Linked DNA regions of Macaca fascicularis. The protein of the gene in region 1 purifies or fractionates together with the protein of each later gene. This does not show direct contact. Links are inferred from orthologs where the notes say so. Each region holds a gene or a part of one and is shown in the gene's direction. Other genes may lie near its edges.

Evidence for each region. Proteins that work in one complex are often made in the same cells at the same time.
Region 2: the proteins of H2BC1 (region 1) and TRRAP purify together in Homo sapiens (affinity purification with mass spectrometry; 3 studies listed by BioGRID and IntAct, counting the BioPlex papers as one, with this or other methods). This does not show direct contact. The link is inferred for Macaca fascicularis from reciprocal best matches to the Homo sapiens genes H2BC1 and TRRAP.

The regions. Positions count from the first base shown.
Region 1 is NC_088378.1:147,199,662-147,207,475, reverse strand, and holds H2BC1 (histone H2B type 1-A), read left to right. Parts: upstream 1-3,165; 5' UTR 3,166-3,316; coding exon 3,317-3,700; 3' UTR 3,701-6,486; downstream 6,487-7,814. Other genes in the region: H2AC1 (histone H2A type 1-A), read right to left, coding at 2,520-2,915. UniProt on the Homo sapiens protein: Variant histone specifically required to direct the transformation of dissociating nucleosomes to protamine in male germ cells.
Region 2 is NC_088377.1:47,526,487-47,533,651, forward strand, and holds part of TRRAP (transformation/transcription domain-associated protein), read left to right. Parts: intron 1-1,573; coding exon 1,574-1,840; intron 1,841-3,439; coding exon 3,440-3,646; intron 3,647-4,493; coding exon 4,494-4,652; intron 4,653-4,746; coding exon 4,747-4,881; intron 4,882-6,349; coding exon 6,350-6,460; intron 6,461-7,165. UniProt on the Homo sapiens protein: Adapter protein, which is found in various multiprotein chromatin complexes with histone acetyltransferase activity (HAT), which gives a specific tag for epigenetic transcription activation.

The DNA.
Region 1 (7,814 bases):
AACATTAGCCAGACATGATGGTATATGTCTGTAATCCCAGCTACTTGGGAGAATGAGGTAGGAGAATCGCTTGAATCCGGGAGGCAGAGGTTGCAGTGAGCTGAGATCAGGCCACTGCACTCTGGGCAACAGAGGAAGTCTGGCGGGGGGGGGGGGGGGGGGGGGGCGGGGGGGGGGAAGAGTCAATATCACCATTTTTATTTATTATCACTTATAACTATTCGACAATGCATTTAGACAAGAAAGTCAACTATTTAAAACAATAGGACAAAATTATATGATTTTCCTGCCTACCTGGAAAACCACAAAGGAAAAAAGCTGGACAACAGAAATGACAGAATTTAATAAGGAAGGAAATACAAATCAGTATAAAAATCAAGAATGTTCTATTTGTAAAACATGGTCAATCAGAAAACATAATAAAGAAACCCTTCTAATATTTCCCCAAAATACACTAATAAAAAAGAATAGCTGGAGATAAATTCTATGAAACGTGTGAAAGTTCTGTAAGAAGAAATCAAGGCTGGGTGCGGTGGCTCACACCTGTAATCCCAGCACTTTGGGAGGCTGAGGTGGGCGGATCACCAGAGGTCAGGAGTTGGAGACCAGCCTGGCCAACATGGCAGAACCCCGGCTCTACTAAAAATACAAAAATTAGCTGGGCATGGTGGCAGGCGCCTGTAATGCCAGCTACTCAGGAGGCTGAGGTAGGAGATCACTTGAACCTGGGAGCTGGAGGTTGCAATGAGCTGAGATCGTGCCACTGCACTCCAGCCTGGGTGATAGAGAAGACTCTGGCTCCAAAAAAAGAGAAGAATCAGAAACTTCTATAAGTAAATTGTTTTGAAAAATCAAGGGGCATGTCTCCTTTAACATGTATTCACCATTTTTTATACATTTTATTCTATCTAAACATTTAATGTAATTTTAATAGGATTGCATTAGATATGGAAATAAAAGTATTATGTAGTGCATTTGGAATAAAAGAATATGAAAGTTCTCTCCTATAAAGTCAAGTCCCTCTTCTTCTGCCTTTCCATACTTTGCTTTGGCACGTCTGGAGAGTTAAGTGCCACTTCCTTGACAAAGTATATCTACATTAATTACTTGGAATTCATCTGTTTAGATTTATCTTATATCCTGATTTGAAGTTTCACATTTGCCATGTTCTAAATATTACCCAGTTTTATTCAACATATAGTTGCCATTTCTGTTTTCAAAGATCTTCAGTTTTTTCCTTCTCTAATTGCATCCCTTACTTATTATTTATGCAGGTTAATTCAAGGGATAACTGACTTTTGTGACTTGATTGTCCTTACTTGGCATGTTTTATTTTATAGAACTTTACCTGCTTCTATATATGCCTTATTATGTGTAGATATCAAGTGTTTAGCAGTTTTTTTTTTTTTGGTAACCAAATGAGATTTTTTTTTTTTTTTGAGGTAAGGGCAGCTGTTGAATATCGTACAGTAATTTTTAGTTATTTGGCAGCGTTACTGAATGGGTTTTGCTTTTCAATTTCTCTTGGTGTTACAGCACAAACAGCAAACACAGATCAACAAACTATTTTGCCTCTTTTTAGTAGTCAAAACTTTTGAAGCATATACTGTTCCGAAATTTCTAAACTTCAAGTTATGTTAGGCCTTCTAGTCCTATTCCTGCCTGAGTCTGACACTAGTATCTCACCATCACATATGGTGTAAGGCTTTTTTTTAACATATCTTACATTTTAAGAAATAATTCTATTATTCTTTACAAAGTGCATGAAGCCACAGGTATCAAATATATATATGCTTACCCAAATTTTAAGATTAACTTATTTTACTTACACGTCACATTTGAGTATTTCGTGAGACTGCCATATTTGAAAGGAAATTCTTCTCTAAAATGTACTTTAAGCAACCAGCCAGACTAATGTCGCCTGGATTTGAACTCTAAGGTTATACCTCTTCTGTTTGTAATGCAATCTTCACTTCCATACGTAACCCTTAACATGACATACATAGTTTGAGATAGTCTCGCTCACGTCACGCAGACTGGAGTGCAGTGGAACGATCTTCGTTAACTGTAACTTTCACCTCTCAGGCTCAAACAACCCTCCCACCGCAGCCTCCCGTGTAGCTGGGACTACACGCCTGCACCACCAAACCCGGCTAATTTCTGTGAGATAGGGTCTCAATTATGTTAATGGTTAAGTCCCGGGCTTAAACGACCCTCCCGCTTCAACCTCGGGGCAAGTACTGACTGCTCACAAGCGTGAGCTACCTCGCCCAGTGACACGTATAATCAAAACTACCTCAGACATTAATGGTTGATGCAACGGTCCTTGAAAATTCAATCCCCTTACATTCCCGAAATGCTCTTAAACGGGTGTTGCTTCTGACAGGTGCCAGCTAACATGGCTGCTTAACAGCACTTAACGTTCTGTAAGGCACAGCCTTTTCTGAGATGGTAAGTGGCTCTGAAAAGAGCCTTTTGTTTTGACACTTAAAAGTCACTATACCAACGACAGCCCGAAGTTACTTGCTTTGGGCTTTATGGTGGTGACTCTCAGTCTTCTTGGGCAGCAGCACTGCTTGAATGTTGGGCAGGACCCCGCCCTGTGCAATGGTCACGCCGCCTAAGAGCTTATTGAGTTCCTCGTCATTGCGGATGGCTAGCTGCAGGTGGCGGGGAATAATACGAGTTTTCTTGTTATCACGAGACGCATTGCCAGCCAATTCAAGAATTTCTGCTGTCAGATATTCTAACACCGCCGCCAAATATACTGGTGCGCCTGCCCCTATCCGCTCTGCATAGTTTCCCTTACGGAGTAAACGGTGAATTCGACCTACAGGAAACTGCAAGCCTGCTCTAGAGGAGCGAGACTTAGCCTTGGCGCGTGCTTTTCCTCCCTGCTTTCCTCGTCCAGACATTCCTACACAGACGAATTACAGCAACACAAGAATCATTCCTAATGGCGCTACTGGGCCTATTTATAGTCTGACTGAGGTTGGAATTTTTGCTATCTGATTGGCTGATGGCCTTCTACCCAATCAGAAAGTCTGACTAGAATCACCTTATTTGCATTCACGCCACTTCGCATTGTCCAATCAGATTTTGGATGCCCAACACGGCATTTGAGGGCCGTGCCTATAAATACCGCACCTTTCGGCCAGCAGCGATATTCGTTTACTTGGCGACGGTGGGAGTTGAGGTGTTACAGAGCTGTTTAACACTGAAGAGCTGTTTAACACTTAAAAGAGCTGTTAACACTTAAAAGAGCTGTTTAACACCTAAAAGAGCTGTCTAACACTGCAGAAGTGCTGTGGCAGTTATGCCGGAGTTATCGTCTAAAGGTGCTACGATTTCCAAGAAAGGCTTTAAGAAAGCAGTCGTTAAGACGCAGAAGAAGGAAGGCAAAAAACGCAAGAGAACCCGTAAGGAGAGCTATTCTATTTACATCTACAAGGTGCTGAAACAGGTCCATCCAGATACTGGAATCTCTTCCAAAGCCATGAGTATCATGAATTCCTTCGTCACTGATATCTTTGAGCGTATAGCGAGTGAGGCATCACGCTTGGCTCACTACAACAAACGCTCCACCATCTCCTCTAGAGAGATCCAGACGGCAGTGCGGTTACTACTGCCGGGAGAGCTGGCTAAACATGCTGTGTCCGAGGGCACCAAAGCTGTCACTAAGTACACCAGCTCCAAGTAAGCCGGCCAAGTAAACGTCTTTACAACCCAAAGGCTCTTTTCAGAGCCACGTAAACATACTGAAAGAGCTGTGAACTTACTGTATGTTTCTGTGTAAGGCTGTCTTCGTAAAGCCACTCAAAGATAATCAGCTGTGGGCTTAAGGTAGACGAACTAGTTCCAACAAGACCAGCCTGGCGGGGCACCGTTGTTAACGCCTGTGTAATCCCAGCACTTAAAAGGCGGACGCTGGCGGTTCACTCAGGAGATGGAGACCATCTTGGCCAACAAGCTGAAACTCCCATCTCCGCTAAAAATTCGGAAATCAGGTGGGCGTGGTATCGCTTACCGTAGTCCTAGCTTATTGGGAGGTGGAGGCAGGAGAATGGCTTAAACCTAGGAGCCGGAGGTTGCAGTGAGTCGAGGTTGTCACTGCACGCTAGCCTGGTGACAGCGAGACTCTCAAAAACGGTAGTTTGTATAAAAGCTACATCTTGATCGATATTGGTATGTTTAAGGTTAGCATTATGTATATGAAACTACAAAGTGCAGCCACGTAGACAATGTTACTTGCATTATGATCCCAAATTTTTATAGACCTCCCAAAAAGGCAGTAGTTGAGAGGAAGTTACGTTTTGTGCCACAGGTAAGTCAAGGTGTGGAAATCATTTTGGGAACTCTGGAGAACTCCCAAATCTGATTTGCAGGAATGAAACAGATTTAAAGTGTCTTGTAATTTTCTTAAATTTATAATAGTTTCCTTAATTGTCGTGTTAACTGGTTGTTGACCTCCATCTGTAAGGGCTCTCAAGCATTAAACTGATTTCAGCCACCTTAAAAACGAATCAAATGTTACTTCTTGGAAACCTGGTTAGCTGGAATTCTCAATCTGTTTAACGCATGTTCATTTAACCTTTTAATGAAATTTTGGATGTGTATATGTGCTTGCTTTAAAAAGTTAGTACCGGGCGGGCGCGGTGGCTCACGCCTGTAATCACGCACTTTGGGAGGCTGAGGAGGGCAGATCATGAGGTCAGGAGATCGAGACCATCCTGGCTAACACGGTGAAACCGTCTCTACTAAAAGTACAAAAAATTAGCCGGTCGTGGTGGCACGCGCCTGTAATTGCAGCTACTCAGGAGGCTGAGGCAGGAGAATCGCTTGAACCTGGGAGGCAGAGGTTGCAGTGAGCCGAGATCATCCCACTGCACTCCAGCCTGGGTGACAGAGCAAGACTCCGTCTCAGAAACAACAACAAAAGAATATATCGATGTACAAGACCTGTTAAAATAAGTGCCCCCACACTTTTGTGAACAGTAAGGCAGTTCCTGCAAAGCCCCTGCGTGCTTTAGCTGGGAAATCTTCCAAGGAGGTGACAAATTGGGGGGAAGGGGCATCTAGCATCTATGCTCACCTTGTACTGGGGATGGGATCATCTCCAGTCAGGTATTCATGCTTCTCTAACACCTTGGAAAACAGCAGGTATCACATAACTGCCAAATAACCTGTCAACTTTGTGACCACTGTCAGTAGACTATCCTGATTATCCAAGGACTTTTAGGCTTATTTGGGCAATAGATAAGTAGGAATACCAGCAAATAAAAACTCTTTTTCAGACTAAACTTCATGTAGCTTTTATATCGATGTATTTTGGCTCCAAATAACAGGAAATGCTAGCTGGACTGGTTGAGATAATAAGTAATGCAACCAAACAGGACAACCTAAAGGCAGAGAAGTTCCACCAATAGGATGATCACAGCCCTGGCTCCACTACCCTGCAGTCTTGCCTCTGCCCTTCTCCCCATTGTGATTTTGCCATCATACTGGTCACAGTTCCAAGTGTTCATGCAGAGATGATAAAGTAAAGGCAGGAAGAGTCACTCTATTCCACTGGGTCTTGGATTGAGAGCAAAAGGAGTCTTCCCAGAGGACCCATTCCTCTCAGGTCCGTTTTCTAGAACTGAGCCTAGTTCAGGTGCTGCCTGAGTCATTCACCTACAGAAGACCACAGGATGGGTGTGAACTGATCATCTACCTTCATACATATTTGGCATTTTAAAAAGTTAAATATAGTTCTGGGTACTTTGTTTTTGTTGTTAATGAGGTATTTCCTATTCATTATTCTTTAACATTTTGTTGTTATATATGTAACACTGCTTTCTGTGCATTTTTATTATTTTTTATATCCTTCTAGTACCTCACTGAATTGACTGACTTTGCTATTGGTTTCCTGGTAGATTTTCTTGAGTTTTACATGTCTGCAATACAGGTTGAGCATCCGTAACCCAAAAAGCTCCAAAATTCAAAACTTTTATTGTATGATGGGTTTCTTTCCTAGTCTAGCTGATCCTATACACAGCTTAATATAAATTTCTATGTACATGCAATAAAATATGTTTAATATTATTAATGAAACAATGCCAGATTGAGTTTTCAAAATATTTAAAAAATGTGTGATATAGTAATATTTGTGCTTCAAATAAGATTGAAAATTATATTTTAGTGCATACATTGTGGAAAACACTATAGAATTTCCTCAAAAAATTAGAAATAGAACTACCATATAAATCCAGCAATCCTACTACTGGGTATATATTGAAAGGAAATAAAATCAGATTCTCAAAGAGATATCTGTACTCCCATGTTCATTGCAGAATTATTCTCAATAGACAAGATGTAGAGAGAACATAAATGTCCATCAGCAGACGGATAAAGAAAATGTGGCATATATACAAAATAGAATACTATTTGGCCTTAAAAAAGAAAAAGAATCCTGTCATGGGCAGCAACATGGATGAACCTGGAGGATGTTAAGTGAAATGAGCCAGGCACAGAAAGACAAATGCTGTATGATCTCATAAGTGGAATTTAAAAAATGTTGAACTCATGGAAGTAGAGAGCAGAGTGGTGGTTACCAGTGGCTACAGTTGGGGAGTGGTGGGAAGATATTGGTCAAAGGATATGAAATTTCACTTAGGAGGAATAAGTTGAAGAGCTCTATTGTACAATATGCTGATTATAGTTGGTAACAATATGTTCTATTCTTGAAAATTGCAAAGAAAGTAGATTTAAGTGTTTCCATAACAAAAAATATGTGGGGTAATGCATATGTTAATTAGATTGATTGCTATTCCGCAATGTATATATATTTCAAAACATCATGTTGTACACAGTAAATGCATGGTTTTTATTTGTCAATTTAAGAAATGAAAATAGTTGGGCAGAGAGTGGATTTTAGGGAGGCAAGATTAAGAGCAGTGAGATTAATTAGAAACTGTAATTCAGGTGAGAGATATGAGTATGCAGACAAAAATGGTAGCTGTGGAGATGGTGAATAATCGACAACAGAAATATGTAGGAAGTAAAATTACCATATCTTGAGAGATTGAAGTGAATAGAAGTTGAACAGAGACTATTAGAGAAAAAATACATTTCTGGTTTGGACAACCATGTGAATAGGGTGGTACTCATGGATGTAGAGAACACAGATGTCCAGGAAAGAGTTCTGTTGGAATCATCTGGAAATCCCTGTGGAGAGAATTCTTAAGTGGCTAAGCAACATTAAGAACTGTGATATTGAGTAAGCAGTTTACTGGAGTTCACAGAGACGCAGAAACCTGCGGCTTTAAACCTCAAATCCCAGCAGATAAAGGGGAGTTAGCCTGATCACTTTTCATAGAGTGCAAGAAAAGGACCGTAAAAAGCACAAGAGATGCTGCAAAGAGAGCTATTCTATTTACATCTACAAAGTGCTGATCGGGTCCACCCGGACTTGGAGGATGTTTTGCACACATTATGGCCAAAGTCAAGAAAAAGCAAACAGCCTAATGCTCAGTGCCAGACTTCCCTAAGTGGGCCTTTTTTGTCATCGTAGAGGGTTTGTAGTAGAAAAAGTCGTAGACAAAAAGTCAAATTTCCCCATGGCACTATCCACAGAAAGAATATCCCCATGAACCCAGGATTATGGGAGCTCCTCTTGGATTGCTTCAGCTGTGAGATTTTAGCTTTCACCCAAACTGCTGCAGAAAGAGTTAATGCGAAGTTTAGACTTAAAGATAACCATGTATGTCTAGTCCAGGAAAAAAGTTTATCAGTCTGGCAATGACGCATACCCTATAATAAAATAAACATTCTAT
Region 2 (7,165 bases), on another chromosome or scaffold:
ACTGTTAGAGGCTGTGTTTGCCCTGAGATTCTCACATAGAGTGTTTGTTGGAATGCTGCGTGTTGGCGTTCCTCATCAGAAATACAGATTGCTGGTTTTAGCCATTTTGTCCTGGGATCAAGGCAGAGGGGACTGTTGTTTCCATTGGCAGATTCCTGGAGCTTACATAGTCTTTGTCCTTTCAGACGGGCCTCCTTCCTGCAGTGTTGACATCTGATCCCCAGGATCAGAGTGAGCCCAAACGTTTATTCTTGGTCTCCGTAGTGATATTTGCCTTATTCTGGGCAAGTGTAGGGAGATGGAGTCCAGACGGGACCCCTTCCCCTTTGTTACCTTCTCCAGGCTGTGTCTCCTGGGTCAGATGCTGCTGCTATAGGGATTTTGAACGTCAGGATGAGGAGAAAAGGAGCTGGCAGGCTGGAGGCTACAGATGCAGGTGTGGGCCTGCCAAGAAGCAGTACATCTAGGGAAGAGAGGACCTTGGGGCTAAAAGGGACCTTGATAAAAACATGATTATAATGGAAGACTTCAGTCTGTCCATTTTTCAGAATTATTAAGACCTGGTAGATAGACAGTGGTTAGGATACTAAGTTGAACTGAATGATGCTGCCATTATACTTGATTTAATAGAGACGTGTAGAATATTCCTCACACAAGGTACATTTTTTTTCTTATGTCCGTGAAACACTTAAAAAATCTGTCAGATGCTTTCAAAACTGCAACAATTTTTTGAAAGTAGACATTTTTCCAGGTCACATTTTCTGATCATCATGCAGAAAAATAAGGAGTAGACAAAAGTTGGCCGGGAAAAAAAAATCTCAACTATTTGGAAATTAAGAAACTCAGTCCTAAATCACCTTGAATCAAAGAAGTCTTCTTTTCCCACCTCACCCTCCTCCAGCCCCTGCATCCTGACTCTTAAGCCTACCCTATTTAAATGTTGAAATGAATTTGGTGGATTTCTAATCCATATGTAAACCAAAAAGTACCTGAGATGGATCTCAGTCGGTTTAGAAATTTATTTTGCCAAAGTTCAGGATGTGTCCGGGAGAGACATTTGTGCCTTTCTCTAAAAATGGCTTTGAGGGCTTCAGTGTTTGAAGGGGGAAAGTCGGCTGAAGGGGAAAGGGGGCGGGTGTGGTCATCCACACATTGCCAAAGAAGGGGAGCAGGTGGGGAAAGAGTCAGTTCTGTGTTCATCTCACGCTCAGTAAGCCAGCACTTTATATAAGATAAGGTGAACACGGGGTCGTTACCTGTGGAGATCATTAACCTTTCATCTGTAGCTCTGCTTAGCATCAAAAGGAGCCAGTTTCTTGCATGACTCAGCTTTCAGCTTAATTTTTTCCATTGGGCAGAGCCAACTGGGGTCCTGAGGTTTTTTTCTCCTTTCACATATATATGAAGAAAAATGGATAAGATGTTATTGATATCATTGTAAAACTTCACGTTACATACTGTGTGTGTGTGTGTATGTATGTATGTATTTTTAAGGGTTAAACCTGCTGTGTGACCCTCAGTCAGTAACCCAGTTCACAACTGGAAATGAGTCCTTCCCGCTGTCCCTGCACAGGTCCTGGACCCCGAGAAGCAGGCGGACATGCTGGACTCGCTGCGGATCTACCTGCTGCAGTACGCCACGCTGCTGGTGGAGCACGCCCCCCACCACATCCACGACAACAACAAGAACCGCAACAGCAAGCTGCGCCGCCTCATGACCTTTGCCTGGCCCTGCCTGCTCTCCAAGGCCTGCGTGGACCCGGCCTGCAAGTACAGCGGACACTTGCTCCTGGCGCACATTATCGCCAAATTCGCCATCCACAAGAAGATCGTCCTGCAGGTATTTTGCAAGCCCCCTCCTGTCCACCGACATCCACGTGAATCCCACGTGGTGACTTGGCTCCCTGGCGCAGTCTCAGCCTCTCCTGTTGTCTTTTCCCAATACCGATGAAAACCGTGAAAACATAGACACTCTGTGATTCCACTTAGAAGACCCTAGGGCACTCGAATTCAGAGAGACAAAGTAGAATGGAGATTGCGGGGGGCGGGGAGAGGGGGTGGGGAGTGAGTATTGAATGGTGCAGAGTTTCAGCCTAGGAAGATGCAAACGTTCCGGAGATGGTGGGGCTCGTGGCTGCACACAGTGTGAAGGTGCCAAGCGCCACTGGGCTGTGCACCCAAAACTAGGTAAGATGGTACATTCCGTGTTATGTGTGCTTTACCATTTGTGGGGAAAACACCCCACGCTGTGAGCCCTCCCGTGACTGTCCACGCTCTCCCTTCCTCCCCCATTCCTGCTCTGCTCTCTCATTCCTCGACAACTTTGCTTTTAAAAGGAAAGGCCACCCTTTCCATCTCAAGCTTCTCTGTCCGTTGCATTTTAGCTTCTGACTCTGACATTCCATGGCAGATGTTATAATATTCAGGGGCTCTAGCCCACTTCTCTTAGCCAGAGACAATAGGTACCTTTGGATCCGTATCTCATGAGCTTGCTGCCGTGCAGCTTGTGTTGAGCACCTCTTCCTGGAGTCCCTCGGTGGTCTGGACTCTGAGGTCGGGCACCCCGGGTTTGAGTGTTGTTTCTTCCGCTCACGCGGTGTGTGCCCTTTGGCAGGTTAATGTCTCTGTGTGAGAATTAAATGTAATACTCCACTCGAGCTTGCAGCATTTGATCACTGATAGTTCTTTTCTTCCATGAGACCATCTTTGATGGCTTTCCCTTGACATCTTTCTCTTGTGAACCTCTGTTGAACTCTGCACCCCCATCAAGCCAGTGGCCTCTCACATCCCCTCCCATGAGCCCTTGAGCTAGAACTCCAGCCTCGGGGCTGCACTGCCCTCCTCCAGTTGTCTCAGAGGTAAACACTCAAGAACTCTGTGACCTTCTCTGCTCTTCCCCAGTGCCCAGGCACCAGCAGGTTCTGCAGCTTCTAACACCCACCCTGTCACCTCCACCCTCAGGACTGGTCTTCTCTGCTTTCCCATGACCTCACATCAGGGCCTCACCTCTCAAACTTGAGTGACTACAGCTGCTGCTTCTCAGCGCCTCTCCTTTTGGCCCTGTTTACTTTATTTCCCATCCCGCAGCCGGAGGGAGATGAGCCGTGTACCTCCCTAACTCGCTGCTGGTTAGGTGGGACGTGGGATCCCTGCAGGGACTTGGTCTTATCTGTCTGCATACCCTGGCCTAGTTCAGCACAGGCGCATAGTAGGTGCATTTTAAATACTAGAATGAATGTATTCATTGGTATTAACGAAATGTATTCTGGTCTTAATGAAACAGAAAGCAACTAAGTTGTTTCCTAATAAGAAACTCCTAAGAAATTTTTAGAAAATTGTTTTGGAAAAGTATCATGTCTCGATACCAAGGGATTGTTTGTCTTCTTGTTTTTTAAAGCCTGCCTTCTCATCCTCAATAAGTGTCTCTTCCCTGTTTTAGGTTTTTCATAGTCTCCTCAAGGCTCATGCAATGGAAGCTCGAGCGATCGTCAGACAGGCGATGGCCATTCTGACCCCGGCGGTGCCGGCCAGGATGGAGGACGGGCACCAGATGCTGACCCACTGGACCCGGAAAATCATCGTAGAGGAGGGGCACACCGTCCCGCAGCTGGTCCACATTCTGCACCTGATAGTGCAACACTTCAAGGTGTGTAGGAGGGACAGCGGGCTGCGGGGCATGCATCTTCAGGCATTCGCTCTGAACCTTCACCTTGTCTTGTTCTGCAATAATCAGGTGGTTCATCTTTTAGTAAGGTTACTTCTGGTTCATTGATTAGTTTATGTGATTAGTTTGTGTATGTGTGTATGGCTTTATCAGCATGGAAATTGCTGTAATATAGAGAATATGTCACAGGTGTGTGCATCTTTGCATCTAAGGCTACATTTCTGTCATAAATACTGTGCTTAGTTAACCCTTGTATGCTGCTGAGTTTGCACCTTAAGGTGGGAGATAGTCCTCATTGACTCCAGATTTCCGTCACCTGACTTGGAAAGTTACTCATGCTGCTGGCACCTCCTTCTCTATGACCAAATCACCCCTTTTGTGGGATTTATTTATATGTAAATGTTTCTTGTAGATTTGGGGTAGAAGAGAAAGGATTGAGTTGAAAGCAAATTCTTTTATAGCCACCTCTTAGAGGAACTTTGCTTTTTGGTATGTCTTAAACTTTTACACTGTCAAGTCTGAAGTTTGATACATGTGATTAGACTCAGCTTCCTGTCTGAAGAGAATTTGATTTTTCAAGACTGAAGAATACTATTGTAATGAGATGTGATTGGGGCGGGGGAGGGTGATAAACACACATACGTAAGGCAGTGAGAATTTCCTCGGTAAGGTTAGGATTCCGAATTCTTGAGCATCAGGTTGGGTTGTGTGTGTATGTTGGGGCTGAGAGGCACGTCACGGGGGGGTGTGTGTGCACGTGCACACACGTGCATGCGCTCTGGGACCAAGGTCCCATGTTCCCGGCGTGATGCTGGCCCTGCGCCCGCAGGTGTACTACCCGGTACGGCACCACTTGGTGCAGCACATGGTGAGCGCCATGCAGAGGCTGGGCTTCACGCCCAGTGTCACCATCGAGCAGAGGCGGCTGGCCGTGGACCTGTCTGAAGTTGTCATCAAGTGGGAGCTGCAGAGGATCAAGGACCAGCAGGTAGGGGTGTCAGCCTTGGGGGTGCCCCGATCGTCTTCCTTCGACTTCTCCCTAGAAATCAATCAGTAAAGCCAAGCGCCTGTGTGTTTTTAAGCCGGATTCAGATATGGACCCAAATTCCAGTGGAGAAGGAGTCAATTCTGTCTCATCCTCCATTAAGAGAGGCCTGTCCGTGGATTCTGCCCAGGAAGTGAAACGCTTTAGAACGGCCACCGGAGCTATCAGTGCAGTAAGATCACGTGTGCCTCTGTATGGGTGCTGCGCAGTCTGCTGGGAGTTGGTTCGTTTATTCCCTACATTTAGAATGTGAGCTCGGTGCCCAGCTGCATTTAGGAGAGGCAGCTGGGAACAGCTATGCTTACCAGATTGAAACTCCAGGACATGTCACTCATGCCAGGGGTTCCCAGGTTACCAGACATGCTTGCCTCTGCGCTCAGTTCATACCATTAAAGTTCTGTCGATGATGGTTGATTACTTGCAGAAAGGCATCTAGAGAAACTCTTTGAAGTAAGGAGTTGATTAAGAACATGTGCCTGTGCTGAGATCAGTTTCTGAAAAGGACATGTGTTCTGTTTCACGAGGCAGCCACCAAGAGGGTCCTGGGTATTGCCCCTTGTGGAATGGTGGCCCTAGGAGCCCTGAGTCTGACCTCAGCTGGTGTCATGGACCTGCTGGCTTGTGGACACAGGCCTGGCTGCCCCACTTCCGGCTTCGTAGGCCTGAGGCTGAGCTCTTCTCCCACCCTCACCATCCCACATCTTGTGTGGCACCCACATCTGCCCTCGGCTCCTGTTAGAAACCTGGCACTGTCTGCACTTTGTCCATTGGCCTCTCTCCACACATCCGGTCCGGAGCAAGTCTCACTGACTCTGCCGCAAATAACCCATCCCTGCCTCCACACCGTGGTCCCAGCCTCTGTCACCCCTTGCAGGGTGACAGATGGGAGCTGCTCAACTGCCTCCCTGTTCTTCTTTCTTTCCCTGTTCCTCTCTCCACCTCCACTTTTACTCCCTCTTGATTTTTCACAAAGCAGTCAGACTTCTACAAAAGTTTCCTTTCGCAACTTGAATCGGGAAGCTGGGTGAAGGGTACATGAGACCTCCGTAGTGTTTTTGTAAAAATCTCTTGTGGATCTTATAATCCTTTGGAAATAAAAAGTTGAAACAAGGCAGGTTGCCGTTCCCCCTGCTCAAGCCCTCCCCTTGACCTTGGCACTCCAGGCCTGGGTGACCAGGCCCTGCCGATGGCTCTTGGCCCCCAGCACCATCTCGGTGCTCGGCCACGCGGGCTATCCCTCTGCTCTAAACGCACCCCTGGTTCTGGCCCTGTGCTCACTCAGGATGTGTACCCTGGCCTTTTCTCTCCACTGGGAGCCGTCTCTCTTCTTTTTTCTCATGGCCGCCTTTGTCTCAACCTAAAGACCTCCCTTGATGTTATCCTGGGCCTTGGCACTTTTGTTCCCCATCACATGAGCCACTATTTTGCATGGCTGCTCTGTTGACTAGCCATCTGCCCTCCTGCTGGCTGTGTCAACTTCACCAGGGCAGAGACCACATCTGTCTTTGGTATCCCGAGCGTCCAGATCTGCCTCTGTCCCCGGGAGGTATCGCATACCCATTAGCTGGGTGAAAAGTCAAGCCTGGGTTGGAAATTCATGTTGCGATTATCTTCCTGCCTGAAAGGAGGTCCTTTTCCAGGTATTTGGGAGGAGCCAGTCACTACCTGGAGCGGACTCTCTCCTCGCCAAGCCCATTGACAAGCAGCACACAGACACTGTGGTGAACTTCCTCATCCGCGTGGCCTGTCAGGTATAGGATCCGAGTGCCTTGTGTTAGGGCTTCTGCAGACTGGAGGCTACTGACTAATACCCCAGGAGGTTATCTGTGACCGTTTCGTCAAAAAAGATACAGACAAACCAAGGTCTGCGAGCTGGTTCTGTCATTTTCATACCACATGCACTTGATTTTGTGGCAGGTTAACGTTTCCTAAATCTACCTATGTCTTATAATTGAGATGTGTATATATATATATATATATTTTTTTTTTTTTTTGAATTGGAGTCTCGCTTTGTTGCCCAGGCTGGAGTGCAGTGGTGCGATCTTGGCTCACTGCAACTTCGACTCAGGTTCAAGCGATTCTCGTCCCTCAGCCTCCTGGGTTGCTGGGATTACAGGCACCTGCCACCACGCCCAGCTAATTTTTGTATTTTTGGTAGATATGGGGTTTCACCACGTTGGCCAGGCTGGTCTCGAACTCCTGACCTCAAGTGATCCGCCCACCTTGGCCTCCCAAAGTGCTGGGATTGCGGGCATGAGCCACCGTGCCCAGCCTGATATGATTTTTTTAAAAAGCCTTTCACTCTTTCAGTGGTAATAAAATAATGCTGTGCCTTCTAATTGACGGCATGTTAGCATTGGTGGAATATGGTAGACCGTGATCTCGGCTGATTGTTTAACTTCCAGGTGTTCTTTTTGCATCCTTAAGATGGGAATGGTACACAGTTCAGTAAAGGA